Linked DNA regions of Macaca fascicularis. The protein of the gene in region 5 interacts with the protein of the main gene of each other region in a pairwise test. Links are inferred from orthologs where the notes say so. Each region holds a gene or a part of one and is shown on either strand. Other genes may lie near its edges.

Region 1 (3,823 bases), on a different chromosome or scaffold from region 5:
GTTCAGGCTCTCCTGAGGTTGCATGCAGTTAGATGTGGCTAGGGCTGCAGTTATTTAAAAGCCTGAAAGAAAGTAGAGGATCCATTTCCAAAGGGGGCTCATTCACATGGCTGGAAGGTTGGTACTGGCTATCGGCATGAAGCTATAGTTCCTATCCAAAGGGCTGTTTGAGTATCCTCACAGTACAGTAGCTAGCTTTCCCCAGAATGAGCAATCCAAGAACATGACAAGAAGTGTAATACTTTTGTGACGTAGCCTCAAAAGTCATCTCACATCCACATTCTCCCTCAAATTCTTTCCAAGTTCCAAGGCTGAATGCTTCCAAAGCAAATATCATGTGTGCTTTATTGACCATTATATCCCATCCACTGGCAGACAAATGGGTAAACAAAATGTGGCATACACCTACCATGGGGTATTATTCAGCCTTAAAAGGGAAGGAAATTCTAACACGTGCTACAACAAGGATAAATGTCAAAAACACACTAAGTGAAATAAGCCCATTACAAAAAGACAAATACTGTATGATTCCACTTATATGAGATACCTAGAACTGTCTAATCCGTACAGACAGAATGAAAAATGGTAGTTCCCATTTTTCAGAGCTGGAGAGGAGGAGGGATTGTTTAATAAATATGGAGTTTTAGTTTGGGATGGTGAAAAAATTCTGGAGATGAATGGAGGTGATAGATGTACAACAATGTGAATGTCCTCAATGCCACTGATACTTAAAAATGATTAAGATGGTACACTTTATGTTATGTATATTTTAACATAATTTAAAATAAAAAATAAAAGGTTTTTTGAACCATCATTCCTCCTTTTAACATATGCCTCCAACGATTCACAACTTTAGAAAAACGAATTTAAACTAATATATAAAGTTCTATAATTTTTTTACTCATTAACCCAAATTAATATTGTTAGAATTTCAAGTAGTATAAGATAAATAAAAATTCCTAGAGCTGCTTAAATCACTCACCAGCAATTCCTCTTTCTACATGTAAAGCTAGTGTTGTTTTTCCTTCAAAATGGATATATCTGTTAACACTTACTATATGCCTAATATTAAGTAACTATTACATAGTAAACAATTTCATTATTTCATTTAATCCTTAGAATATCATTGTGTGTCAGGCTTTCCTATTACCCCATTTTTCAAGTACAACCAAAAGTTATGAATTATTAAGTAACTTGCCCGTGGTATTATTCTTCCCATTTTTACATTTATGAAATCAAATCTTAAAGACATTAAAAATTTCATAAGTCTTTTTGTGAACTAAAAGTCATAATATCAAATCAAACCCACATAGTTCCAAGGTTCAAACTCTAATTTATTAAATATGATCATCTGAAACAGTTCCCATCCTTCAAGTAGAATTGAGGCCAGTTAAACCTAGTCAGCTGGACTTTTATAGTGAGAGTTCATCAGTTCCAGCCACCCTGGGAATTAAACACAGACCCTAAAACAGTGATTCTCAAAATGTAGCAGACCAGGAAAAAAAGAGTCTGGAAATTTGTGAAAGCCCCAGAATCAGAAACTGAGAATGGGGCTGTGAAATCTGTTTTAACAAGACCTTTTGATGATTATATGCATGCTAAAGTTTCAGAACATCTTGTCTAGATGACCAGCAGGACCAAGTTTTCAGGTTCCCTACCCAAGGTAGGGAAATATAATTTGTTTTGGATTACAAAGTATCTCTTCACTTTCCCAAGCACAGTAAATATATTCTTATCTCTAAAAACTTAATTTTAATTGAGATGACTTCCAAAATATGAAATCAAGATTTACCTTCAATAAAACTTATTAAACACAAACCAACTGATTCAACTTGACATTTGTGAATAGGCTAACATAAATGCCTAGGTTATCAGTAAGGCTAATTTTTAAATTCAGTGTAATTTGAAAGGTTTTATCATCTTCCAGTAACAGAATAAATAAGAATTCCTAGAGTTGCTTAAATTGCTTATCAGCAGTTCCCCTCCCTAAAGGTAAAGCATGTATTCTTTCCAATCTCTCTAGCCAAGTCTATTCAATTCATTTTCACAATTTTAAATTTAACTAAGTTTATCCAAGAAAATGGATGATTATTTATTAAATTACCTGTATAAATAACATTTCCTTCTTGGCATTCAGGAAGAGGCCTTTTCCCACGCCTGTGTGCTTTTTCCCGAAATCTTACTGTTATCACCACATTCAGATTACCAGTACTGCAATTCATTTCAGAAAAAGATTTGGTTTCCACAAGGTTTCCAAACTTTTTGTTGACAAAATGGTGGACAGCTTTTCTGTGGTCTTTGTTTGCATCAGGTTTAAAGGTAAATTTGGAATTTTCTTTCTTCGCATCCAAATACTTAAAAAAGTTAAATGCTTCCTCTTCAGATACCAAATGACAAAGTTCTTTATACTCAAGATTTGGTTTTACAACAATTTCACTGTTTTTTCCTACAGTTATTAAAAATGGAAATTTCTGCCTAATGGCACTATGTAAACTAGCCCTCTGGTTTTTGTCAAGGATTCTGCCTATTGAGAATTCAAGAGGTAGTCCAATTAGCTCTGTTTCAGAAAGCCACTTCTCTTTTATATCACAGGCAAAATTATTCAGTAACTCATGAGTTTTTTCATCTAAAAAGGAGCTTAAAACATCAGCTTTTTCTTCACATTTGGAAGTTCCATCACTGATAGTATCTTCCTTTTCTGAACCAGACGGATGATTTTGGTCACCATCAGTGTACTTAACCAAAGTATTAACTTCTTGGTTTCTTCCATCTTCAAAGGACAGATTTTGAAGATCTAGTTTTGTTTTTTTGGGAAAATTATTTGGCTCAGGTTGTATTTCACTAATCTTGAAAATAGGCTCATTGATGGTCTTATTAACTAATTGTCCCTGTTCATCAATTTCAATAACAATAAAGTCACTTGGTGAGCTTTTTATAGTGCCATGAAATCCAATATGATCATTAAAGAAACACAAAGAACTAAACCTGATTCTATAATCTGTATCTTCTTCCATTCTTCTATAATAATGCCTAAAAAACAAAACAAAGAGGTGGTTAGTTAACAGAAAGAGAAATTATGGATGACCAGATAGGAATAGGTTTGCAGGATTTAGTTAATTCTGTCTCTCTTTTAATCCTGAGTCTTCTTAAATGGCATCGTTAATTTATAACTATATGTACATCCTGTGTACTTTGACTCTCCTATACCAAGCTGAAATAATAGGCAAACTATTTCTGGTATAGCTAAAGATTTGTTAACTTGTATCTTCACTCACTCCAGATTTGTACCTATTATCCAGGATTAAAATGAGTCAATTTTAAGTTTATCTTAAAAATATCATTTGTAGGCCCACAAGAAGAGGTGAGAACACAGAACTATAAAACCAAGATGTGTCCAAATTCCATTCCTGGAGTCTAAAATCTCCAGCTAATTCCAGAGAATATGTGGCTAAGTTTTCTTACATTATTAGTGGTTAGTGACAGGAGAGGTGACAAGAAGACAATAGGAAAACTGATGGGTAAATGAAGTTATAAATACAAATTTGTGATTTGATTATATTTCAAGGTAGGATTAAGTCAGTCCTGGGCCTTCTCTAATGCCCCCATTAGGACAAATAGAAGCTTTCAAGGTTGACCCAGAGGAAAGTTCTAACTATATCATTGGCATCAGACTGAAGAAACCTTACAGAGCTTCCTGGGAACACTATGCAAGAGAATAGTACTCTGATCTCTCACCTTTCACACAAACCCATGGCTACCATACGATATGGAGCTGCAGGAAAGATAAACTGCCCAGGGGCCCCCCTACTACTGAGTTCTGTGT
Region 2 (3,571 bases), on a different chromosome or scaffold from region 5:
TATTTGAACTGATAATACTCTCGCAGACATTATCAGTTCTCTCATTTCACTAGTCTAGGACTCATTCACCTTGTTTAATTTTTAATCTCCAGACCTCATTAATTGAGGTCTTAACTTGTGCTAGGCAATATTCTACACAGAGAAAACTAAAAAGATTTGATCCCTTTCCCTTCAGAGTTTACTCTCTCAAATAGAAGTTGACTATGCTATAATTGCCAAGGGCATGTGACACTGTGCAATGTCCCAGCTTTGTTTTGTTTTGAGACGGGCTCTTGCTTTGTTGTCGAGGCTGCTGTTGAACTCCTGGCCTCAAGCAATCCTCCCACTTCAGCCTCCCAAAGTGCTGGGATTATAGGAATGAGCCACCATGCCCAGCCTATCTCAGCTTACTTTGATGGTAGATTTTGCTGCCTCTAAACAGTCATTTAGCCAAACTGATTTGAAAGTAGAGTGCTATTAACAGCTAAAATGGAGGTTTCTTTCTTAACATATGAAACCCATTAGAAAAGAACAAGCAGAAGTATAATGTGTTTCCCCCCAACACCCATCCCTACCCTATAAAGTACATAAAGATCTTTCCTTTATTACACAGTACACCATAGGGAAGGTTTAGGAGACATTGGTGCCTTAACCTTACATACTTGTATTGGTTTTTGGCCAGGATCATGCACCAGGGAGACCAAGGATAGATTTCCATTAATAATGCCTTACAGCAAAATTATATTATCTTTCATAAGAGTTACCATCTGGGTGATCATGCCCCTCTGACTCCAACACATCCTAATAACTCCAGCTTCTACAAAAGCAAGAGTTAACAGAACTCTGAACATACATGCAGTGACAGGAAGGCACAACCAGATGCAGGCACTTCACTAGCACAAACCACAAGTCAGGCATGCAAGAAGAGAGCTTTAATGGAGCCTGCTCACGACTCTTCAGTGTCTTCACCCATCAATTCTGAGGGCAATAACATAAAGCTTACCAGCCCAAGGTTGTAATTTAGTGGGAAGCTGGGGCTTCCTTCTGCCTCCTGCTGCTTAGCAGTGGCTCTCTCCTCACAGACTTTAACTCTGCAGGCAGATCTGGGAGCTGTTTGATTTCTCTCTGCTTTGCATCAAATTCTACTCCCATTTACTGCTGAAGAGAAGCAGAGCTTTCTGACCTATCCAAAAGTTTCCATTGTTGTCTGCTCAACTATAATGCTTCCTTGGAGGTGGAGGACGGTTCTTGATGGTCTTACACTTGGGAATGTGTTGCTCAGCCACCTTGGGAGCAAAGTGGTGGCTACAGTGAGGACACTGAATGTAGTCTGGGTTTTCTGCAGGCAGGATGGGAGGCAAGTGTGAACGGTTTTCACCTTTGGCAGTTACCTGCTGGACCTCTCGAGCCTGGCGGAGCGTATGGATAAAAGATTCGTGCTTCTGTCTCCAGTTGTTCTTCCGAGGAGGTTCAGCCTGTAATGTAAAAGGGAGACTGATCATTCAACTTGGCACCTATCTCCTTCCTGAGTCTCTTTTAGAATAACAGTAAGAAAATGAAAAGGGTACTAATCAGCAAGGTCAAAGAACAGGAAAGGAGCAACAGTGGTAACTGACTTGCCAGCGTTGAGGCAAACCAAGGGCCTGCAAAGGAGGTACTGCTGAGAGGCAAGCCACTTTCCCAACAGAATCCGGAGAGGTTCAGTGCTTGGAAGTACCAGATAGTGGAAAGTAAGGAGGTACAGGACTGAAAACAAGCAGGACCCCACGGCTCCTCCCACCTTACGCATCCAAGTGTCCAACACCCAGGCACACTCACAGAAGAGCAAGGATTTATGCTCTGGAGAAATTGAACCAGACAGACTTCTGACTCAGGAAATCCAGACGGTGGAACCGGGTTAATCTTGGGGCTGAAAATGGGGATTAAGTACAAGTGTACATACCAAATTATGGAACTGTCAGCCTCCTTCCCCCGCTCAGCCCCCAGAGTACCAAGCAGATTGACATCCTCATAGGAAAAAGAGGGGTTCTCTGGATACATGGAGCAGTCCAGAGAAAAGGCTTCAGATACTCACCTTGGGAGACACTAATTAAAAGACTCACTATTTGGTAACTTTAATATGAAGATCCTTAGTCAACAAGCCCCACTTAAGCTTAAATATGAAAGGACAGCCAGGAATCATCAGATATTTACTAAAAGCTCTAACAAGAAAAAGAGCCCAGAAAGTCCACAAACAAAAACCTAGGAAGCAGCAACAAGGCAGGAGGCAGAAGAAAACTTTTTTTAACATGAGACCATATCAACAAAATGAGTATTAGAAGAGATTATGTCCATAAAACAAGAGGAGTATACTATGAAAAAAGACAACCAGAGAACCAGAAAGAACTATTATAAATCAAAACTTTGATAGCTAAAAATAAAAATTATTTAAATAGAGGACGGGCGCGGTGACTCATGCCTATAATCCCAGCACTGTGGGAGGCCGACGTGGGCAGATCACGAGGTCAGGAGATCAAGACCATCCTGGCTAACACAGTTAAATTCCGTCTCTACTAAAAATACACAAAATTAGCCAGGCGTGGTGGCACACGCCTGTAGTTCCAGCTACTCAGGAGGCTGAGGCAGAAGAATTGCTTGAACCCAGAAGGCAGAGGTTGCAGTGAGCCAAGATCGTGCCACTGCACTCCAGCCAGGGCAACAGAGCAAGACCCTGTCTCAAAAAATAAATAAATAAATAAATAGAAATGTTGTAAACTAATGTCAAGAAAATTTCTCAGAATGGGAAAAAAGATGAAGATGGAAAGTAAAAAGAAAAGATTAGAAAATTAGAAAGTTAATCCTGGAAGTCCAACATGTGACCAGTAAGAGTTCCAGAAGGAGCAGAGAAAGCACAAGGAGAAATTATTATTATTATTATTATTATTATTATTATTATTATTGAGATGGAGTCTCGCTCTGTTGCCCAGGCTGGAGTGCAGTGGCACAATCTTGGCTCACTGCAACCTCAGCCTCCTGGATTCAAGCGATTCTCCTATCTCAGCCTCCCAAGTAGCTGGGACTACAGGCGTGCGCCACCACACCCGGCTAATTTTTGTATTTTTAGCAGAGACGGGGTTTCACCATATTGGTCAGGCTGGTCTCGAACACCTGACCTCAGGTGATCCACCTGCCTCAGCCTCCCAAAGTGCTGGGATTATAATCGTGAGCCACAGCACCTGGAGAGGAGAAAATTATTAAGGAAATAATACAATTAACATTCCTAGAATTAAAGGTCACACATTTTGAGACTGAAATGGCTTACCAAGTATCCAGCACAATTATTGTAAAGTTTCAGAATTTCAAAATAAATAGAGAATCCTGTAGCCTTTAAAAAAAAAAAAGGTTTCTTGTAATGAAACAGGAATCAAAATGGCATTAGATTTCTCAACAATACACTGGATGCTACGAGCTAGTGGGAAATACCTTAAAAGTTCTAACAGATAATCATTTTCCTCCTAGAATTCTGTACCTAGCCGAAGCATCAAATGGGGGCCTGTTACACAGATAGTGTCATTCATTCCAAGACAGTATACCTGCTGTGCACCTTTCTTAG
Region 3 (4,549 bases), on a different chromosome or scaffold from region 5:
GATGTCAAACCTCATCTTTAAAACAAAGTTTTTCTAAACTCTGCCTCACTGCAGGAGCCCCAGAAGCAGAGTCAAACTCATTGGAGGCCAGGAGCCTGTAGTCATGGTCCACAGACATCTATGGACACTGGGCTCTCCTCCACAAAGGCTATCCTCTCACCATCAGCCTTGGCCTCTGGCCTTCTACTATTCTCAGGGCTGCAAAGCACTGGCAGCCCCAAGCCCTTCCCTATCCCTAGGTACTAACAGGCACATACATACAACCCACACACAAACTTAGGTCATTTCTACCCATGGAAGCCTCAAAGTTATTGTATGTATAATCTAAAATCTGCACTGTGTGTATGTACACCAGCCAGAGACAGAAAGAGTGTGTGGGGCAGGGTGTAGTGTCTCACGCCTCTAATCCCAGCACTTTGGGAGGCCCAGGCAGGCGGATCACCTGGGGTCGGGAGTTCGAGACCAGCCTGACCAACGTGGAGAAGCCCCGTCTCTACAAAACATACAAAATTAGCCAGGCGCGGTGGCACCCGCCTGTAATCCCAGCTACTAGCGAGGCTGAGGCAGGAGAATCACTTGAACCCGGGAGGCGGAGGTTGCGGTGAGCCGAGATTGTGCCATTGCGCTCCAGCCTGGGCAACAACAGCAAAACTCCGTCTCAGAAAAAAAAAAAAGCGTGTGTGTGTGTCTTTACATACACACACACACACACTTATATAAGGGGCCGTACCTACCGTCCTGCCCACAACTGGCCGGTGGACAGGAGGATCTAAAAAACGAAGAAGGATGGATCATTAAGGTATGGAGAGAGACCACAGTAAATATGCTCCCCTACAGCCAGGAGCGCTTATGCTGGGCTGGGTGTGTGAACTCCACGTGTGTCCCACAGGCTCCAAGGAGTCTGCAAGTCCTGTGACCAGGGGCAGCAAGGGATGCCGGACATGGCTCAGAGGCGCTGGAAGTGATATTGGCACCAGCATCTGTGGTGTGAGTTACAACCAGTACGAAGGGAAGACAGGGCTGGGAAACAAAGGCCTCTCCCAGAGCCTGTTCGGGATCAATAAGAGGGCTCCTAGACTCCAAACCCCGCTTAACGAGTGTTAGAAAGACCGCGCAGGCCCAGGGCCCTCCCCGTGTCTGCCTTGCAGCGACCAATATTGCAGTGAATGCACTGAGAGCAAGGAACAGCAAGGTCTCTCCCTCACTCTTCGAACACTGCTTGCTTGCCTCCACCCCCAAAAGAAGCTCTATCAGTTCAGGAGCCACCAAGCTCACGCAGAAAGGATTCACAGGACGGCTGGTCAAGACACTTTTGTTGCCTACCCCGGGGTGGGGACGGAGGCCGTCAAGGGTGGGATGAACATTCAGCAGAGCCTGGCCACCGCGTGCTTTCCCGCAGACATCGGGGCTTCTGAGAACTAGGAGGGAACAGCCAAAAGAATGGAAGCTTGGCGCCCCAAAACAAGCCCTTTGGGTCCTGAGGGAAATCGGGGCGCCCACGGGCAGCCGTCTTCCCCACCCGCCGCTCGGCGCCCGCGATTCGGCCGGCGCTGGCTGCAGCGTCCAGCCGGGCGGCGCGGGGAAGAACCGGCGAGAACCCGCCTGAGCTCCGGGGATCGACCGTGCTCTCACACGCCTCCAGTTCCCAGCGACCCCCCACCGAGACTTGGAGACGACTTCAGCAAACTTGGGGAAGCAACTTTTCCCGAGGAGCTAGACGCCTGAAAGATGAAGAGCTGGGCTAGGGACGAGGGAAAGCGAAAGAGACTGGGAAAAAAGGCGACAGTCCGGGCGGGCTGGACTCCGCGGGGAGAGCAGCAGGGAGGCGGACCCGCCCCGCGGCGAAGGGGAAGCACAAAAGCCCCGCAAACGAGTTGTAGGAGGAAAGGCGAGAAGGGGTCTGCCCGCCCTCCCTCTCCGACCCAGGGCCGTGACCCCCGGGAAGCGACCGGCTGGGTCCCCGGCCTCTGGCCAGCGGCGCCAGCGGCCGGCGCGCCCGTCCGAAGCACCGTGCGAGCGTCTCGCGGAGGCGGCGAGCGAGTCGGTGCGGAGCGCTCCGTGCGTCCCAGTGGGTCCGTGGGCCGGCGGGACCCTGCGCATTTCAAGCGCGTGCGGGCGTGTGCGAGGCGCTGTGCGAGCTAGCGGCGGGCGCGCCAGGGTGGGAAAGGCATCCCGAACGCATCAGGTGCAGAGACCCGCACCCACCGAGAGCGGCCGGGAGCGCACGGCGAGCTCCGGTGTCACCGCCGGTCCCGTCGAGAGCCGAGGAGGGCCCGGAGCGCTGGAGACCCTCTGGAGCTTCCCTCCCTCCCCTGCAAAAGGGGGGGATCAAGTCCAATCAATAAAAAGCCCACCACGTTTTTTCAAACAGAAACAAAACGTAAGCAGTCCCAGTCCTGTTCCCCTCCGCCCCCAGATCTACTCGTCAGCTCCTCCGATTCTAGCTTCCCAGCCGGCCGGCGAATAGACACACAAATAAATAAACCACAACCCTATCTCGCGCCCGCGCACCGGTCCGCATACATAAGAGCACCCACGGGCTCTGTTCCTCCGCTGGCCCCTGGCGGTACAAAGCCTCCGGATCCCCGACCCTCTGCTCACGCCCTCAGCCCCCGCAGACCGCTACGCCCCCCACCTCTCACCCCGACCGTGCCCTGGAGAGGAAGGGCTGGGGAGGCAGCTGTGCCCAGGCTGACAGCCGGGGCTCCCCCTTCTAGCCGACCCCCAACCGGTTGCGGCGACGGCTGCAGCGGCAGGAAGGGAACACGCCAAATAAAAAAGGCACAAGCCCAGCGGCCGAGTGGCCGAAGCGAGCGCGCGCCCCCCAGACCTCTCCAGCCCCGGGGAGCCCCGGCGCGCGGCGCTCGCTCGGCGGTGCGCCTCTTCCCGGCCCCTCACTCACCGCAGCCGAGCCGGGCACTGTGGGGTGGGTGTGCGTGCCTGTCGGGGGGTGTGTGCCTGTGTCGGGGAGGGGTGTTGCTGGGGAACTGTTGCTCTCCGTATCAAGGCGGCAGCGACAGCATCGCCCGGCAGTTCGCAGTACCCGCTCTCATCGCCCTCAACTCCTCTCTGCTGCGAGGTTAGCAAATCACCACCGGCTGCTGCGCCTCCGCCGCGTCCCACGTCAACGCCGAGCCCCCTCCCCTGCAAGGCCCCGGCGCCTCTCCATCTTTAGTGCTGGCGGCCGAGCCCGGCTCCCTGCCCACAGCTGCCCCCCTTCCCTCCCCCCTCCCGCGCCGTCCTCGGGCTCAGCCCGCCCACCACCCCGCACTGGCCGAGCCCGCGCGCGCTCCCCGCCCCACCTCTCCTTTCCCCTCCCCTCCCTTCCCCTCCCTTCCCCGCGCTCCGCGCTCCGGGCTTCGCCTGACATCTAGCTGCTGCTGGGGCGCTGGCGGCCGCCGCTCACCGGCCGAGCGGAGAGGAAGGAAGGAGCTAGAAGACAGGCGTGCAGGGGACGCGGAATCCTTAATAGGGGAACTGAGGGTGAAGGGCGCGCAGGAGCCCCCACCTCCTCCCAAGACTTTAATTTCCATTGGATACGAGTTTTGTCCCCCCTCCCCCGCACCCCGGTGCTCAAGCACGCAGTTTTGTCCCCTCTTCCAATGTTTGCCCCAATTCAGTGTGTGTCATCTCGCCTTTAACTTTTTTCTCATGGCTCTGGGCTGCATTCCCAGTAGCCCCTGACATCTGTTTCAAAAGGCCGCTTTCCTAGTCCAAACCCGGGCCTCTCATCCTTCTGGCTACTGCGCGCCTCCCGGCTTGAGCATCCGGATTTCAAGAAGTCTCCCGAGGCAGAGTTCGAGGGTCCTGGTGAACCAGGTGCCAGAAGGTCCGCGAGATCTGTTGTCGAAGCGAGAGGTCCCTTTTTAGCTGTCGCGATTGCTGGAGGCCAAGGTCGAGTCCTGGGAGAAACTTTTCTCTCTCTCAGACTTGGACAGCCTCTCGGCTCTGCCCGCACCCGACCCCCGACCCCCAGCAATCTGGGTGCAAACAGTTTCCGACAACTGCGCCCAGCTCAGTGCACAGTCTTCAGGGGGCAGGGGAAAACTTGGAAAAGCTCTGGGCCCCTCAGAAGTGCGTCCTCCTTCAGCGGGCCGTCCTGCTTTAGAGGGTAGAGAGGCCAAAGAAAATGTACCCTTCCTCTGACTGCAGAAAGCTGCCCTCTCCTCTTTTCCCTGGAGCTCAGCGAAGGTAGGGTGCCAGAGGTGGGAAGCGCTCTTTGGGCACCGGTTGTGGATTCTGACCAAAACCCAGGAGGTTGGGGTGGGAAGTGGGGGTGACCGAGAGCGCCATCCAGGGGTCTCAGGCCAGTCAGCCCTCGAGGTCACGTGGTTTTAGCAATGCGGGGCTTAGGTCACCGAGGCCTGGGTCTGCATGTTCTGTCCGTGACTCGCGGGTGGGCCAAAGGTTTTCCGCAGGACTCACCTAGAATCACATCTCCATGCGTCCCTCTGGCACTGCCCCAGACGGAGAGTCAAGTCACTCTCCCGTGAACTGTAGGGCCATGGAAGGTGGCAGAAATCTGTATGTGTCTGCTGAAGGCCAGACA
Region 4 (4,310 bases), on a different chromosome or scaffold from region 5:
TCAGGTATTTCACCCTGAGTCCTTTCTTCTCCCTAGTTTTAGATCAGGAAATAATTTGCAAATCTGATTAGGAGTAGGAGAAATACTAACGGCTGGCCAAAAGGAAGCAGTCCAATGTACTGGGTTCTCCTTTCAGTGACATGACCTGATGATCTGAGACAAATTATCTTACCTCCCAGTGCCCCAGGTCCTGAAGAGTCAATTCTACTTGCTGCCAGATAATGGCCATGATGCAAATAACATATTTACCCTGGTAAGGCATTACTCTGGTTACTACTGGCATTGGAAAATAATTACTCTCATTATAGTTTTGTCTGCATCTGGGGATTAACATTCTTCTAAGAGTAAGCCTCTGGCTCTTTCAGGGCAAATGGTCCATACCTGTGTTTTACAAATCACCCCAAATAGGTTGCTACCAGCTGTAATTCTGGTCCCTATGTGGCAATAATTTCATTTCCAAGCTAAGAGAGTAAGAAAAAGGTCTTCTGGAATTGTCAATATGTACTGCTTGAAGAACGCTTGAGCTTCTCTTCAGTGAGGACTGTGTGGGCCTAACCCTTTCTAGTTGGGGTCATCAGGCAAGATCACCATCTGAGTTGCTATGGACTGCAGATATGCTGTTGTGTCCATCAAGACACCACAGAACTGACTCTCAAAACCTTTAAAGTAATTCTAGAAAATCAAAGCAAAGAGAAAAAAGCTGAGTTTTTTTTTTTTTTTTTTTTTTTCTGAGACCTGTCACCCAGGCTGGAGTACAGTGGCACAATCTCGGCTAACTGCAACCTCCACTTCCCGAGTTCACGCGATTCTCCTGCCTCAGCCTCCCGACTAGCTGGGACAAGCGTGCACCACCACACCCGACTTAATTTTTGTATTTTTAGTAGAGACGAGGTTTCACCATGTTGGCCAGGCTGGTCTCAAACTCCTGAACTCAGGTGATCCGCCCTCCTCGGCCTCCTAAAGTGCTGGGATTATACCGTGCTTGGCCAAAAGCTGAACCTCTACTAACCCGTGGGGTGGCATTTGTTCTAAATGGGTAAGAAAGGCCATCTAGAATAAAGGAGAAAGAGGCGATCTGGAGTCAACTTCAAATTATAACTTTGCTATTTAGAAGCTATTTGGACATATTACCTGACCTTTCTATCAGTAAAATACAGGCAGTGAAATGACTGTTAGGAGGGCTACACAAAGCAATGTACGAACAGCGCCACTGCCAGCACATGGCTCACAGAAAAGCTGAGCATTGTGTATACCTCTTGCTTGTGGTAGTCACCACATTGCACCTTTGATGACAGGCGACTGAACGTGTACCTATCGGGTCCCACTTCTAGACTGTAAACTCCTCGGCAGCAGAACTTTAGAGGCATTTAGCATAGTGGTCAACAGCATAGATGTAAGAATTCAACCCCAGCTCCAAGTCTTGTTACCTTGAGCAAAGTATGGAACTAAATGTGTCTTCATCAGTAAAATGGAAATAACACCACGTATTAACACGTATTCCATGGGATTGCTGAGCAGATCACTCGAGAAAACACAGCCGAGAATATGAGCACTTTCCTAGCCCACAGTGAGTGCCCGATACATAGTAGTGATTATCTTTTCCTGTCTTGTGTCCCTTATACCTGCTAATGGCATCTAGCTAATACCTATAGATTTAAAGGTTTATGAAACTTGAGACATTATCCCACCCACAGAAATCCAAAAATATCAGTAAGTATCAAGATGCCAAGGAGAAGGGTCCCCTACCTCTGGAAAATCTCTTGCAGCGTATCCCGGGTGAAGGCATTGCTGTCCTGGAAGACGTTATTGAGGGCGTGGAGGGCACAAAGCTCCCTGCGCTGTTTCTCATGGTAGATTTGTGGGGGTGCTGCCTGGGGCAGCTCCAATGATTCAGATTTGGCCTTGTCTCCTTTCCATGGCACACAACTCATGTTTTTTGTTTTAGGTTCCAGAGATGGCTATAAACACCCTACTCTTCCCTCCAGAAGAAGAATGTAACCTTCTCAGTCTTTTCCGGGTTCCTGAGGTTCACCTTATTCTCTGGTGTCCATGATTTATGCTTTGTCACTGGGAGAAAAGACTGGAATCAAAAGGAAAAAAAAACCCACCTCTTTTCTCAAGAGAAAAATAACTTTTGGATTACTTTCATTTTGCTACCACTGTCAAATTGCAGAATTTAAAAAAAAAAAACCCATAAAATGTAAGACCTTGTTTCCGTTTCCCCACCCTTCCCTCCCACCCCCCTCAAAACTCCCCACGATTTTCTTGCTGTTTCCCTCTGCAAATGCCAGGCCTCAAAGCAGGAGGACCGAACAGCATCGGTCACATCGCTCCTTTTCTTCCATTTCTTTCGAACCACGACGCCACTGACTCGGGAGACAAGGCCTGGGTGGCGGATAACGCGCACGAGTCGAGCAGCTAGCGCGGGCCGGCAGGCGTGGGACCGCGAGCCGCGCGGGGGCCTCGGGGGCAGCCCTCCATCCCCTTGGGTACGGTGGGGCCCGCAGGGCGCGGCTCCCTCGGAAGGCGCGGACTCTCGCCCTCTGGCCGCGGCCCTGCGGAGGAAGAGACAACTCCGGTCAGCGGCGAGCGGGCGCGGGAAGTGCGCGGCGGGGCCGGCCCCTGCCCGAGGGAAGGTTCCTTCCGCGCGGCGACGGGTTGGCCCGCAAGGGGTGGGGCCGGACAGTCAGCCTCGAGCTCCTGAGCCCGGACCCACCCGGTTCGCCGCCCCTACACCAACCTCCCCGCCCGTCACGTGAGCGCAGGCCCAGACGCCCTCCCGCCGCGCCCCTGGCTGCAGACCCCAACGCCGTCGGGACCGCTCAACGCCAGCCGTCCCCTCACCGACAACGGCCGCCACCTGGAGTGCGGGCCGCCAACTGGGCCGCGCGGGCGGGCGCGCGCACCTGAGCCCGACGTCACCGGCCCCCGCCCGACGCGTGCTCCGGAAACGCCCTCTGGCGCCGTCCTCGCTCCTCCCAGCCGTGGCGTCACGCCTAGCGTAGGTGTGACGTCATCGGCACCGGCCTGGGAGACGGGGACGCCGGGCGTGTACGGGCCAAGTTGAACGGTTGGGGTGTGGCGGAGGCAGTGGGTGTGGGGCTGCGGGCTGCGGAGCTCGGCGGCGGCCGGCAGGATTGGGGTCCAGCCGCTCGGCTCTGCGCTGTCCCTGGCGGGGCGGGGTGGGGCGGCCTGAGGGAGTCCTGCAGGCCAGCGGCTGCCGTCCGCGGCTTTCCGCACCCCTCCCCTCTCTGGGCCAGGCTTCTCGGCCGAGCGTTCTCGCTCCTTCTGCGTTGACTGTTTTCTGTGTGGCTAACGCGCGGCTCACCAGGGGGGATTTTGGAGCACCTGATTCGGTCGGGCGCAAATTGCCTTGGTTAGTGGGCCCGACCGTGCCGCACTGTCCAGGGAGCGCCAAGGGTAGGTGCCTCGCTTTGAGTCACATTTCAAGTGGAAAGGAGACTCCTGTTGCAGTTCCGTGGTGTCGCATTTCAGTTCACTACACACAAGCCACTGCCCTCTTGCCTGGGGGCTCCCCGCTCTTCTCACGGTGGCTTTCCTCTCTGCAGAGACCTCTGCGCGAAGTATACCTAAGCGCATTGTGTGCGTCGTCGGGAAACGGCGAACTACTCGCAGTCCCACGTGGATTTCATTTTTTTCCCTTTACCTACTCTTAGGGTGCGTGGTAGGCATCAGTATCCACCTTAGCTGCCCTCCTTTGGGGTTTTTCGTAAAACTGGAAAAACGAGAAGAAATTGCACTTTAAATTTAGTTTGTTTTTGTTTTTGTTTTTGTTTGCGACGGAGTTTCATTCTTGTAGCCCAGGCTGAATTGCAATAGGGCGATCTCAGCTTACTGCAACCTCCACCTCCTGGGCTCAAGCGATTCTCCTGTCTCGGCCACCCGGGTAGCTGGGATTGCAGGCCCCTGCCACTTACCCAAGGCTAATTTTTGTAGTTTAGTAGAGATGGGGTTTCACCATGTTGGCCAGGGTGGTCTCGAACTCTTGAGATCCAACCGTCTCGGCCTCCCAAAGTGCTGGGATTACAAGTGTGAGCCACCGCGCCTGGCCTAAATTTTTATTTATTTTTGAGACAGGGTCTTGCTCTGTTTCCCAGGCTGGAGTGCAGTGGCGCGATCACGACTCACCTGCAGCCTCGACCTCCTAGGCTCAAGCGAGCTTCATGCCTCAGCCTCCTGAGTAGCTGGGGCTATAGGCATACACCACCACACCTGGCTCATTTTTATTTTTATTTTTGTAGAGATGGGGTTTCACCACGTTGCCCAAACTGGTCTCGAACTCTTTTCTG
Region 5 (4,362 bases):
CTGGCTAATTTTTTGTATTTTTAGTACAGACGGGGTTTCACCATGGCCAGGCTGGTCTTCAACTCCTGACCTCAGGTGATCCGCCCACCTCAGCCTCCCAGAGTGCTGGGATTACAGGTGTGAGCCGCCACCCCCCCCCCATGCCCTGCCTTGTTTTTTTTTTTCTTTTCAAAACAAAATTCCCAGTTAGGTGCAGTGGCTCACACCTGTAATCCCAGCACTTTGGAAGGCCAAGGCAGGTGGATCACTTGAGGTCAGGAATTCGAGACCTGCCTGGTCAATATGGTGAAACCCCATCTCTACTAAAAATACAAAAATCAGCTGGGTGTGTTGGTACATGCCTGTAGCCTCAGCTACCTGGGAGGCTGAGGTGGGAGAATCACTTGAAATGTGAGGCAGAGGTTGCAGTGAGTCGAAACCTTGCCATTGCACTCCAGCCTGGGTGACAGAGTGAGACCCTGTCGGAAATAAAAAGAAAAAATTCCCATATACCCCTATCATAAATTAATACATCAGCCACTTGTCGAGGCCTTGAGAGATTGGAGGAAGAGAGCAGAGCAAAAAATTCAGAATTAAGGCATTGTCAAGAAAGGAGAATAACACAAAGAGAAGCAACAGTGGGACTTACACAAATCCACTATTAGCACTTGTCTGAAGAATGGTAACAACGCAAGCTAACTGTATCCAATAATTTTACCCATCTCAGCTTTGCCAAGGATCAACCTTGGTCTACGCAGTTAGCAGGTTAAACTATACTGACAGGTCTGATTTCCAAGGGTTCCAAACTTGGCTCCTCCACGCTTTCCCCAAAAGAAAGGGAATCTCTTAGTTCTCTGGGTGAGTTCCCACTGCCATGTGCAGTTGATCCCCCTCTACCTACAGGTTCTGGGTGACATGCTGGACAAGTCTAAGGGAAGTAACATCAGCTCTACAGAAGAGGGGAGCACCAGCAGAAGCGACTGTGAATTCCAACAACCCTTACCAAGAGTTCAGCTCGTGCCTGTTCCCCTTGGGCCCGACGTCTCTTCTTTAAATCTTTCACTCTTTTTAAATGGTCAAGCTGGTTCTGGATTTGCTCCTGAGAAAAGCAAAACAGATGGGCAGTTCAAAACTAGGTAGACCTTAGCATCAGCATGGTACTTCTAATCACACATGGAGTCCACACACCTGATGCCAAGTATCCAGTTGGCACTTGTTCTCAGGCCACACTGCCACCCACAAGAGAAAGACTCAGGGCGCAGGGGCCAACAAGCCACTCATTTGGCAATTTGTGTCTATCTTAGCAGCCTGTCGCTTCAACCACTCAGCTACCTCGTCAGGATTATTTGTGTCTATCTTAAACAATGAATCATCTACCTGTCCCTGGTAGGATATCGCATGACTTAGCGGAACTGTGACTGGAGTAGGAGGCTTAGAGTTATGTTGTATTGTAGCTCTTCCACACAAGCATACTGTGAAAGTGACTTCTTATTTCCCTCATGTGTGAAATGGGCAAACACCATCTTCCCAACCTACTCAAGAGTTCTCACCAGAGTAAGTGAAAGAATATAGCTGAAAGGTCCATAAATGTTAAGTGATTAATTACACATGAATGTATTCATATTTAAACACGGACATAATTGTGTATGAATTCCTGAAGCCCTCAACATACAGAAAATACACAGTATCATGGACTCCTTGAAGGTCACCTTACAACTGTTTTATATGTAATATTTTGTTTCCACGTTTCTGTTTAGCTGTGCCAGTTCACAGAGGGCTCTGTGCATCACATGATTCCATAATCTTCCTCATAACTGTTATCTCCTGAGTCTCAGAGTGGTTAAATGACTTAAGCAGTGAAGAGCCTGTTCTTTTCTGTGAGTTTCTAGACCAGGACGTATTGCAGGAAAGTGCTGGGGAAATGCTTATAGACCAAGGAATGGGCATCGGTCAGTTAATGTCCGACTGCGTTTTGTCTGACAGCCGACGAGAGTACATGTGTCTCTACAGCTCGTCGATGTGCAAGCGATTTTATGCACTTCTTTTATACTGTCAAAAGCATGTCTCCGTGTACAATGTGTCCGTGAGACAGGAAACATGGGGGCACACAGAGAAAGGAGAGTGGGGGTGGGGAGACTTCTGGCTCCCTCGCCAGCTACAGGTTTTCCTCCAAATCTGAGTGCTGAGGCTCTGGAGCGGACAGAGAGGAAATGACGGCTGTGAACCACACGTCCGGCTCAGCCATTTTCTAGGCGGAAAAAGGGAAGCCCCTTTGGCTCTCTCCTCCCTTTGTCCGACTCGCGTTCCCGCCCTCCCGGATCCGCGCCCTCACCTTGAAGCCCTCCACTGCCTCCTCGAGCGGCAGCACGCTGTGGCCGCGGTGCTCGCGGGAGCGGTCGCACACCACGCAGATGGGCATCTGGTCCTCCTCGCAGTAGAGCTTCAGGGGCTCGCGGTGTTTCTCGCACACGCCCATCTCGCCGCCGGGCCCCGACGGCCGCTCGGTGCGCAGCTGCTTCACCAGCTGGGTCACGTTGGCCAGGTGCCGGTTGGGCCGCATGTGCCTCTGCGGGAAGGTCTCCCGGCACTGCGGGCACGACACGTTAGTCTCTGCCGTGCCCCAGCAGCGGGCGAGGCACGCGCAACAGATGTTATGGCCGCAGTCGAGCATCATGGGCTCTGCGAAGTACTGCAGGCACACGGGGCAGGTGGTCTCCTGCTGCAGGCACTCGGCCACGCTCCCGGAGGCCATGGCGCGGGCCTGCGGGGGCTCACGGGCATGGGCCCCGGCGCCGAGCTCTGCACGGAGCCCAACTCTCCGGCGCTCTCTCCCGTTCGCTGTTCCTGGGAGGCACCGGGCGGACGGAGGGCGGTGCCTCCCGGGCCCGTATCCCAGACGCGCCCGCGCACCGAAGGCTCAGAGTGGCCGGGCCGATCCCTGCGCCTGTGCCCCCTGAGCGAGTGCGGGAATACAGCCGGCTCACAGAGACTCGCGGCCACGTTACTGGGGCAGGAACGGGTAGCCAAGGGTCAGGATCCCAGGGCCAGGCGCGCAAAGCGCGCAAGACAACGTGGCCGCGTCCGAGCGGATCCCGGCGGCCGCGTAGACCCCACCCCGGCGCGAGCGGAAGAGGCGGCTCGGGGGGCGGGGCTTGGCCCGCGCTTATAGTGTGTGACAAGATTTCGTGGCCTCGGGGCCCGGGCTGCTTTCTCTAGAAAGGCCTGGGAGGCTCCGCCACTCTCCCTTGGGCGGGTCGCGCCGAAGCTCTAGCCTAGGGGACTGGTCACAAAAGCAGATGGTGCCACACGCTCCGGGCCTACAATCTTCCGCGACTGCCGGGCCCAGGCCCCTAGTGTTTAGTTGGGTTTCTTCTTGGTGCCCAGGTCTCAGCCCCTGCTAAAGATGGCTTTGGCCGCGCGCAGTGGCTCACGCCTGTAATCCCAGCATTTGGGAGGCCGAGGCGGGTGGATCACGAGGTCAGGAGATCGAGACTATCCTGGCCAACATGGTAAAACCGCATCTCTACTAAAAATAGAAAAATTAGCCGGGCGTGGTGGCAGGCGCCTGTAGTCCCAGCTACTTAGGAGGCTGAGGCAGCAGAATCGCTTGAACCCTGGAGGCGGAGGTTGCAGTGACCCGAGATCGCCACTGCACTCCAGCCTGGGCGACAGAGCGAGACTCCGTCTTGAAAAAAAAAGAAAAGAAGAAAGAAAGCTGGCTTTATATAGGTGCTGGGGAGCGCAGACATCTGGCTTCCCCAAGAGGCTGGAGGATGAGGAGGGTCACCGTCTGAGCCCACCTGATAGGTGAGGCCTTTTATTAAACAGACCCATTTGTAGGCACTTGCAGTTTTGTTTAGAAAAAGAAAGGTTTAATTATCAGATGGTAACATTTCTGTGTGGCAATAACAAGCCCAGCTCTGCTACCTCTCACTTGTGCCCAAGCAAGTTGGTTTACCATTCATTTACCTCAGTTTCTCCTCGTGTGAAATGGGGATGATAACTGTACCGCCGTAAAGAAGTAGATTTCGTTACATCTTTTACTTTTTGAACCATAAGGTTGTTTATCCATTAAAATAGTAACAAAATGCCCATTACATAGGGTTGTTGTATTGAGGAGCAACTAAAAATTGCTTGCTCCTTTCTGAAGTATAGAGAGACTAAGAATCCTACAGTGACCCAGGGTCTTGGAGTCCCACAATACTCGTTGTCTTATCATGCAGTAGACCTCCAGCATTTTTAAGTTGCTTTCTTATCCCTTGCTTGATGTCTCCTGCTTTTCTTTGAGATTTTCTCAATATTGTCCTGCTATCTGAGCAATACGGGCTTCTGCTTCCAGACCTTACTTGATTTTTATTTTATTTTTTCAAAGTGAAAGTACGT
Region 6 (3,823 bases), about 9.9 Mb from region 5:
GAATAAAGAGCAGTAGCTTCCAGGTCTCTGAGAATTCCAGTCACCAAAAGCTCCTACCTTGCCTGGGCTCACAGGGACTCACCTAAGTCAGTGTTGTGGCTGGAGAGAAGCTGACGGAATTTTTCTAGGCGGGTTTTCTCCCGGACAGTCATTGGGGGGGCCCCAGAGGCGTTCTGATCCGAGATCCGGGCAACGAGGGGGATGATGGGCCGGAGAGGGAGTGACTGCTGTTTGTGGAGTGGGTTCCTCAGGCATGTATCACCTGAGATCATTTGAAAAAGAAACAGAATGGGCTGTGTGAGGAGCATGGATTCTGAGAAGCCTTAAACCTAATCGTTCAGCATCGTGTCTCCTCCCCAAGGCCGTGGCTGCCTGTGTGCACTGCCTGAGGTGCCCAGCTGAGGGGCAGCGAGGGACCAGAACCCAGCCACGCTCCATTCACTGCCCAGAGAAAGGGCTGCATTTATATCAAACACACCAAGGCACCTTAGGTGCTAACAGAGACTCCAGAAGCTGCAGCAACTTTTGAGAACTTTTTTGGTGACTCTAAAGGAAAATCAAATGTTTTCTTTCTGCCCCAACTTGGAACTTTTCTTGATGCCAAACAGTGAGTTTAGTTTAGTCTAAGGCAGAGTTTTCCTTCCCATTCCACATCCCAGAGCACATAAGGAATGATGACAAGGCAGATGACACCACAAAGCACAAGGCTGCAATAAATGGAGGTGGTTGCTCTCCACAAGCCCCGGAACCCCCGGCTGCTCCATGGACTAAGAGGATCAATATCTCCACACATCCTGTACCTGGTTCTTGGCCCATCAGTGTGCCCTGGTGAGAAGCTCTGGCCTAAGGCAATCCTGCCTTTGGTGGCTGCGGTTCCTTTGTGCACCTACATTTCCCACCAAAATGAACCAGTTCTTAATTCTGCCAGGATATGACTGAAATAACAAACAAAGACTCAAACTGAACTCTGTCTTGTTCTCGACATTTCTAGACTGGATGGTGGGTAGGGTGAATAAGCACTACAGGACTCACATATATTGAGTGTTTCCTATGTATAAGGCATATAGGTCACTTTTACATATGACCTCTCATTTGATCCTTAGAACACATGGTAGGAATGTATAACTATTTTACAGACAAGAAACTGCAGCTCAGGGAGATTAAATTATTTGCAAGTGAGAGGTGAAAAACCACCTTAGGTAAGCCTGACTCTGAAACTCTTGTATTATCACAAGCAAAACTCAGTTTTTAATTCTAGTTGTGCTTACATGACTGCCTCATACTCTTTACACGGCTGGGCCTTAAAAAGTAGTAGTCATAACAAAAATTAAACATTGAATATCAACCAACCAGTACTACTAGAAGGCTTACAAAAACAACTTCCACGAGGCAGTTGGCTGGGACGCCTAGTGTAACGAGAGGACTAGAAAATGCAGACACACTGCAGAGCTGAGACAGCTGTAAATCTCCGCTATTACCTATTTACAGACAGATGCCCGCAGGAGAAAACCTCCTCAGGGAGAATGCTCTGGGCTGGGCTGGGGAGGTCCTGGCTGCACAGGGCAGCTCATTATGGATCACAGTAGGGGCCTTCCTCACACTGGGAATCTCTGGAGACCCTCCATCACCGTGTGTACACACCTTCCACAGCCTGCAGCTGTGGCCACCTGGTCAGTAACACTGAATGCCTATCTGTGCATGGCACTGAAGGTTCACGCTAGAGCCCAAATCAGTGATGGAAAACAACTGTGGAATGATTGCAAAGACCTTACAGCCATGAAAAAAGTTCCCTCAGAACATGAGCCAGGGCTCTGATGTTCTTCTACTTCCTTTTCATCCTTTACCCGCTCACCGCTTTAACTCTCACTGCAATGACAAAGCTTCCCTCTCCAGTTCCCAACACACTTTCATAAAACCCATTAGGGCAACATTAAACACAACCATGAATATTTAAAGGAATACACTGAGAGTCCCCAAAGGTCTAATAAAACCACCATCGCATCAACCGTTACTCTGGCCAGTTTCCCGAAAAGAAACAGAGAGGCCTCTACTTCCATCCCACCCAACCTGATGGGACCTGCCTGATGGTCAGGAAGCCGAGACCTGGGGCCTTTAGGCACATTTGCTCCCTCCCTCAGGAACAGGAAGAGACAATTTTATGCTAGTAGCTGTTCCCCAGGGCTGAGAAAGTCAAACCACAGTGGCCAAACAATTGTGAAATTCAGCCACTAACAGCTTTAAATTAGTTAATATTTCTAAACCTGACCAGGACTAAAGCAATGTGAAGCAATCAAACCAGAAGTTTTGGACTCCACCACAGGGAAAGTAAGAAGAGAAGAGGAGAATGGCAAACAACACCTGGGTGTTAGAAAGTGAAGCCCCAGGTCACCAGACTGGGCAGCCACCACAAATCGCTTTTATTTAAAATGCACGCTGCTGAAAAGCCTGAGGCTATGAAGGGAGCAGGAAGGACTTACTAGAGTTTCTGGACAGCTGGGCATCACTGCTGGACTTTATGACCTTGTAGTTGGCAGGAACATCCGATGTCGTTGACTGGGACCGTTCTGGTTTTACCCTCAGCTTGCTGTGGTTTTCTAGAACTTGGGCTGCAGTTGCCAAAGCAACTTTTGAGTTCAGAGTTTGGAAAGAAGGTGAGGAAAAGTCCTCTTCCTCATCATCGCCAATGTCCCAAGCATCACTGGTATTCCGTGCAAACTCATGAAAACTGGAGGCCTTCTTATTCTTCAGAGGAACTGTGCTGACTTTTGATCGTTCTTTAATGAAACTTCAAGAAAGGAGACACAATTACCAAGGAATGGCCTGACACATCTGACCACCTGCATTTGCTTATTATTATAATGTTAATAAATTACAAACTACTCCATACATAATCATTAGCTTCTTCAAACAAAAACTGCCCATATCCATTCTTCATCTAGATACATCCAGACCAGCCTGAGATCGCAGAGACAGATGTAGCAGAGACAGCAATGGTCACCAAACATCCCATGTGCTCTTGTATACTTCCTGGCCCCCATGCACTTAGGTGAGGCCATATGACCAGTTCTGGCCAATGGACTAAGAAGAGAAATAAGGCGATTACTTCCAGGCAAAGTAGAGAATAGGTGTCAGTTCTGTATAACCTCTTTTTTTTTTTTTTTTTGAGACAGAGTTTCTGTCACCCAGGCTGGAGTGCAGTGGTATGATCATGGCTCACTGCAGTCTTGACCTCCTGGGCTCAAGTGATCCTCCCACCACAGCCTCTTGAGTAGCTGGGACTACAGGTGTGCACCACCATGCCTGGCTAATTTTATTATTATTTTCTGTAGACACAAGGTTTCACTATGTTGCCCAGGCTGGTCTTGAACTCCTGGGCTCAAGTGATCCTCCCACCTCGGCCTCCCAAATTGTTGGGATTACAGGTGTGAGCAACCATGCCTGACCTATAGCTTCTCTTCTATCATGATGACTGGCAAGATGGTAGAGACTCCCTCAGCCTAGGTAACTGAGTGACTATGTGAAGCAGCAGTAACTATGTCGAGGAGCCTGCCCTCTGCCCTTACCCACCCCCATTTTAGACATGTAGCATGAGCAGGAAATAGACCTTTACTATGCTAATCCACTGAGATTTGAGAGTTGATCTGCTATCACTTAGAGTAGCACATAAACTACTGGCAGAAAACGAGATAATTTTAGGTAGTCCACATATGTAGCATTAAACCTTAAGTCTCAAAATAAAAAAGTTGTTCCACTTTTTGGTCTTCCACTAGCCTTGAGAAGAAAGTTGAAGTTTGGTGCTACTCTGTCTTTAGACCATTTTCTA
Region 7 (3,823 bases), on a different chromosome or scaffold from region 5:
TTTTTAAAAACTGCATCAATGGCAGTTTTATGGGCAATAAAGTAAGAAGTTGACAGTGTTGTTGCTTACTGTTTTTAATGATTATCTCTCAAAGTCAAGGTAACAATATTGTGTAATACTGTTGTCTTCTAACCCTGTAGGATGGTATTGAGCCTATGTGGGAAGATGAGAAAAACAAACGGGGAGGACGATGGCTAATTACATTGAACAAACAGCAGAGACGAAGTGACCTTGATCGCTTTTGGCTAGAGACAGTAAGGTTTTAAAAGTATAAAGCAGTTTTAGAGGTAGTTTGGGAATACTGAAACTTAAGATATGTTATGTTTTACATTTGTTACTTAATTTAAGAGAAGGATGCCCAACACTAGAAAATCAGGGTCAGTAATTGTTTTCATTCTGTCATGTGACTCCTGTTTATAGTACAGTGAAACATCCTACCACATTATAAGTCAGATATTTTAAGTGATTGGCAGTGTGACTCTCATCACAATAAGCTCACTGTGGTCATTTCATTAACTTCGAAATTATAGAACCTTACATTTTATATGATTGAAGTTTTTGCAACCCTCTTACAGCATTGCTATATGTATACTAAACTTTTAAATATTTATGTTTTTAGAGTAAGGGTCTTGCTCTGTTGCCCAGGCTGGAGTGCGGATATTTATTTATATGACTCACTTCAGCCTCACCCTCTGGGTTCAAGTGATGCTCCCACTTCAGCCTCTTAAGTAGCTGGAACTACAGGTGCATGCCACAATGGCTAGCTAATTTTCTAAATTTTTTCCTAGAGGTGGGATCTTGCCGTGTTGCCTAGGTTGGTCTCAAACTCCTGGCCTCAAGTGATCCTCCCATTCAGCCTCCCAGAGTGCTGGAATTACAGGTGTGAGTCACTGTGCCTGTCCCACTAAACTTTTTAGATCAGTGAAGCAAACAATAAAATTGTTGTGTACTACCATTCAACCTACATGTTGTGATATTAACTGGAACTTTTGGCTTTACAAGACAAATTAAATATGAGATAATAGGCATTTTCTGTCAACAGAGGTTCCAAACCCCAAGCTTATAGGAGCGGGGTTTGTAGTCTCTTTTGTGTCCCTAGCACTTGAAACCGTGCCTGGTTTATAGTTAGCACTTGTTGAGTTAATCACTTTAAATATTTGAATAAGTGACTATTGTTTTTTTAGAGACAGGGTCTTGCTCTGTTGCCCAGGCTAGAGCGTAGTGGGGCCATCATAGCTCACTGTAGCCTCCTGGGTTCAAGCAATCATCCTGCCTTAGCCTCTCAAGTAGCTGTGACTACAGGTGCATGCCAGCACACACAGCTAATGAATGAATGACTTTTTAAGAAGAAAATTCTGTTTTTGAGGGTGAAGATCATCAGCAAATATCATTTTGGAATTTCACATTAAAAAGTCAGTATATTTCCATTTTTCAGTTAAAAAAAATGTTCTGGAGATGGATGGTAGTAGTGATGGTTGTACAACAATGTTGAATGTATTAACGCCACTGAACTGTACACTTAAAAGTGGTTAAAATGGTAAATTTTATGTTATTTGTGTTTTACCACAATTAAGAAACCCGTTAGGGCTGGGCTCACACCTGAAATCTCAACACTTCAGGAGGCCAAGGCAGGCATTTCACTTAAACTCAGGAGTTCAAGACCAACTTGGGCAACGTGGCAAAACCCTGTCTCTACAAAAAATACAAAAATTTACTGGGTATGGTGACATGTCCCTGTGTGTATGCCCAGCTACTCAAGAGGCTGAGGTGGGAGGATCATTTGAGCCCAGGAGGTTGAGGCTGCAGTGAGCTGTGATGGTCCCATTGCACTCCAGCCAGGGTAACAGAGCAAGACGCTGTCTCAAAAAACAACAACAAAAAACCAAACCATTAACAAATATTCAGAAAAAATAAGAACAAGAAGAAATTAACCATGAATAGCTATTTTTGTTATTCTATTAATATTTGTTTGCTCGTAAATATAAGCAGCAGCAGAGCAAATGAATATTAATAAAATCAGCTTTTATGTCTGCCACGATATTAACTGCCAAATTTGCTGAAAAAGGTGAAGACAACTGTTAATGATTTGATAGTAAATAAATGAATGGGTATTTAAGAGTCAGGATAGATCTATATATGCAAATAAAATTTACACATTTAAAAAATTAATTAGATTTAAAAATTGTCTTTAGTTATCTACGCGAATATAGAAGAGAAATTTGCAGTGTAATAAGCTTGTTTATAATCTATTAAACGTAATTTGGGATTTTCTTTTAAGCTGCTGTGCCTTATTGGAGAATCTTTTGATGACTACAGTGATGATGTATGTGGCGCTGTTGTTAATGTTAGAGCTAAAGGTGATAAGATAGCAATATGGACTACTGAATGTGAAAACAGAGAAGCTGTTACACATATAGGGTAAGTTTTGCTCTTTGCATACTTATTTTACAATATTAGGATGGCTAAAACCAGAAGTTACTTTATTTGTAGCTTTAGAAATACTTTGTTTGTAGATCCTGTTTTCCTTGTATTGTTTTCGGAACACTTTTATAATTTTGAACGGCTCAATTGGTGCACAACGTCTTGTTCATATATATCTATATCTATATAGATATCGATATAGATGTTTTGGAGGGTTTTTTCACAGCTATTTATATATTTAGAGACACAGTCTCACTCTGTTGTCCAGGGTGTAGTACAGTGGCATGATCTAGGCTCACTGCAACCGCTGACTCCCGGGTTCAAGTGATTCTTATGTCTCAGCCTCCCAAGTAGCTGAGAATACAGGCGTGTGCCACCATGCTCAGGTAATTTTTGTATTTTTAGTAGAGACCAGGTTTTGCCATGTTGGCCAGGCTGGTCTTTTAACTCTTGGCCTCAAGTGATCCATCCACCTCGGCCTCCCAAAGTGCTGGCATTACAGGCATGGGCCATTGCGCCTGACCTTGTTCATGTTTTTTATTTCTGTAAAATTGCTTTTTCTTAGCAGTGAAGTATATAACCACTAGAACACTCTGCTTTGGCATGTAGCATTTTTTATTCATTCACAAATGAGAATGTATTATTTCCTACTTTGAAAGTGCTGTTTGAAAAAAAGTACTACTTTGAAAAGAGCTAATGTATGCTCATAATAAATAATTCAGTGATTATTGGCAAATAGTGTATGTGTATTTAAAGCATGTGTGTTTACTACATATAATTTTCATTAAAATTTAACATACTTTGGCTTTTGTTCGATGTTTAAAACCCACATGTAGGGTTTTATTAAACCTTTTTTTGTAAATTTTATTCTTTGCAAAAATGGCTTTTTTTTTTTTTTTTTTTTTTGAAGCAGGGTCTCACTGTGTTATTTAGGCAAGAGTGCAGTGGTGCAGTCACGGCTCACTGCAGCCTCAACCTCCTGGGCTCAGGTGATCCTCCCACCTCAGCCACCCAATTAGCTGGAACTCAGGTGTGTACAACCACACCTGGCTATTCTCTTGTATTTTTTGTAGAGAAGAGGTTTTGCCATGTTGCCGAGACTGGTTGTGAACTCCTGGACTTGATCAAACCACCTCAGCCTTTCAAAGTGCTGAGATTACAGGCATGAGCCACCATGCTAAACCAGCTGGCATTTCTAACTAGGATTTCTTTTTACCTCAATTATATTAGTAATATTTGACGCTGGGCGCGGTGGCTCATACCTGTAATCCCAGCACTTTGGGAGGCCAAGGCAGGCAGATCACGAGATCGGGAGATCGAGACCATCCTGGCTAATACGGTGAAACCCCGTCTCTACTGAAAATACAAAAAAAAAAACATTAGCTGGGCATGGTGGCGGGTG

Evidence for each region.
Region 1: the proteins of TRIM27 (region 5) and PUS7L interact in binary tests that used the Homo sapiens proteins (3 or more experiments, as listed by UniProt). The two-hybrid records come from large-scale screens. The link is inferred for Macaca fascicularis from reciprocal best matches to the Homo sapiens genes TRIM27 and PUS7L.
Region 2: the proteins of TRIM27 (region 5) and ZC2HC1C interact in binary tests that used the Homo sapiens proteins (3 or more experiments, as listed by UniProt). The two-hybrid records come from large-scale screens. The link is inferred for Macaca fascicularis from reciprocal best matches to the Homo sapiens genes TRIM27 and ZC2HC1C.
Region 3: the proteins of TRIM27 (region 5) and ZBTB16 interact in binary tests that used the Homo sapiens proteins (3 or more experiments, as listed by UniProt). The two-hybrid records come from large-scale screens. The link is inferred for Macaca fascicularis from reciprocal best matches to the Homo sapiens genes TRIM27 and ZBTB16.
Region 4: the proteins of TRIM27 (region 5) and JOSD1 interact in binary tests that used the Homo sapiens proteins (3 or more experiments, as listed by UniProt). The two-hybrid records come from large-scale screens. The link is inferred for Macaca fascicularis from reciprocal best matches to the Homo sapiens genes TRIM27 and JOSD1.
Region 6: the proteins of TRIM27 (region 5) and TBC1D22B interact in binary tests that used the Homo sapiens proteins (3 or more experiments, as listed by UniProt). The link is inferred for Macaca fascicularis from reciprocal best matches to the Homo sapiens genes TRIM27 and TBC1D22B.
Region 7: the proteins of TRIM27 (region 5) and EIF4E interact in binary tests that used the Homo sapiens proteins (3 or more experiments, as listed by UniProt). The link is inferred for Macaca fascicularis from reciprocal best matches to the Homo sapiens genes TRIM27 and EIF4E.

What each region holds. Positions count from the first base shown.
Region 1 is NC_088385.1:50,364,899-50,368,721, forward strand, and holds part of PUS7L (pseudouridylate synthase PUS7L), read right to left. Parts: intron 3,031-3,823; 5' UTR 3,015-3,030; coding exon 2,105-3,014; intron 1-2,104. UniProt on the Homo sapiens protein: Pseudouridine synthase that catalyzes pseudouridylation of mRNAs.
Region 2 is NC_088381.1:143,025,411-143,028,981, reverse strand, and holds the end of ZC2HC1C (zinc finger C2HC domain-containing protein 1C), read right to left. Parts: intron 1,455-3,571; coding exon 1,191-1,454; 3' UTR 564-1,190; downstream 1-563.
Region 3 is NC_088388.1:112,988,062-112,992,610, reverse strand, and holds the start of ZBTB16 (zinc finger and BTB domain-containing protein 16), read right to left. Parts: upstream 3,072-4,549; 5' UTR 2,206-3,071; exon of another isoform or gene 1,419-2,205; 5' UTR 1,324-1,418; exon of another isoform or gene 1-1,323. UniProt on the Homo sapiens protein: Acts as a transcriptional repressor. Transcriptional repression may be mediated through recruitment of histone deacetylases to target promoters. May play a role in myeloid maturation and in the development and/or maintenance of other differentiated tissues.
Region 4 is NC_088384.1:12,949,047-12,953,356, reverse strand, and holds the start of JOSD1 (josephin-1), read right to left. Parts: upstream 2,935-4,310; 5' UTR 2,907-2,934; intron 2,882-2,906; exon of another isoform or gene 2,741-2,881; intron 2,556-2,740; 5' UTR 1,932-2,555; coding exon 1,747-1,931; intron 1-1,746.
Region 5 is NC_088378.1:144,252,734-144,257,095, reverse strand, and holds the start of TRIM27 (zinc finger protein RFP), read right to left. Parts: upstream 3,083-4,362; 5' UTR 2,732-3,082; coding exon 2,312-2,731; intron 1,079-2,311; coding exon 983-1,078; intron 1-982. UniProt on the Homo sapiens protein: E3 ubiquitin-protein ligase that mediates ubiquitination of various substrates and thereby plays a role in diffent processes including proliferation, innate immunity, apoptosis, immune response or autophagy.
Region 6 is NC_088378.1:134,375,602-134,379,424, forward strand, and holds part of TBC1D22B (TBC1 domain family member 22B), read right to left. Parts: intron 2,786-3,823; coding exon 2,478-2,785; intron 263-2,477; coding exon 83-262; intron 1-82. UniProt on the Homo sapiens protein: May act as a GTPase-activating protein for Rab family protein(s).
Region 7 is NC_088379.1:104,468,858-104,472,680, reverse strand, and holds part of EIF4E (eukaryotic translation initiation factor 4E), read left to right. Parts: intron 1-140; coding exon 141-254; intron 255-2,278; coding exon 2,279-2,418; intron 2,419-3,823. UniProt on the Homo sapiens protein: Acts in the cytoplasm to initiate and regulate protein synthesis and is required in the nucleus for export of a subset of mRNAs from the nucleus to the cytoplasm which promotes processes such as RNA capping, processing and splicing.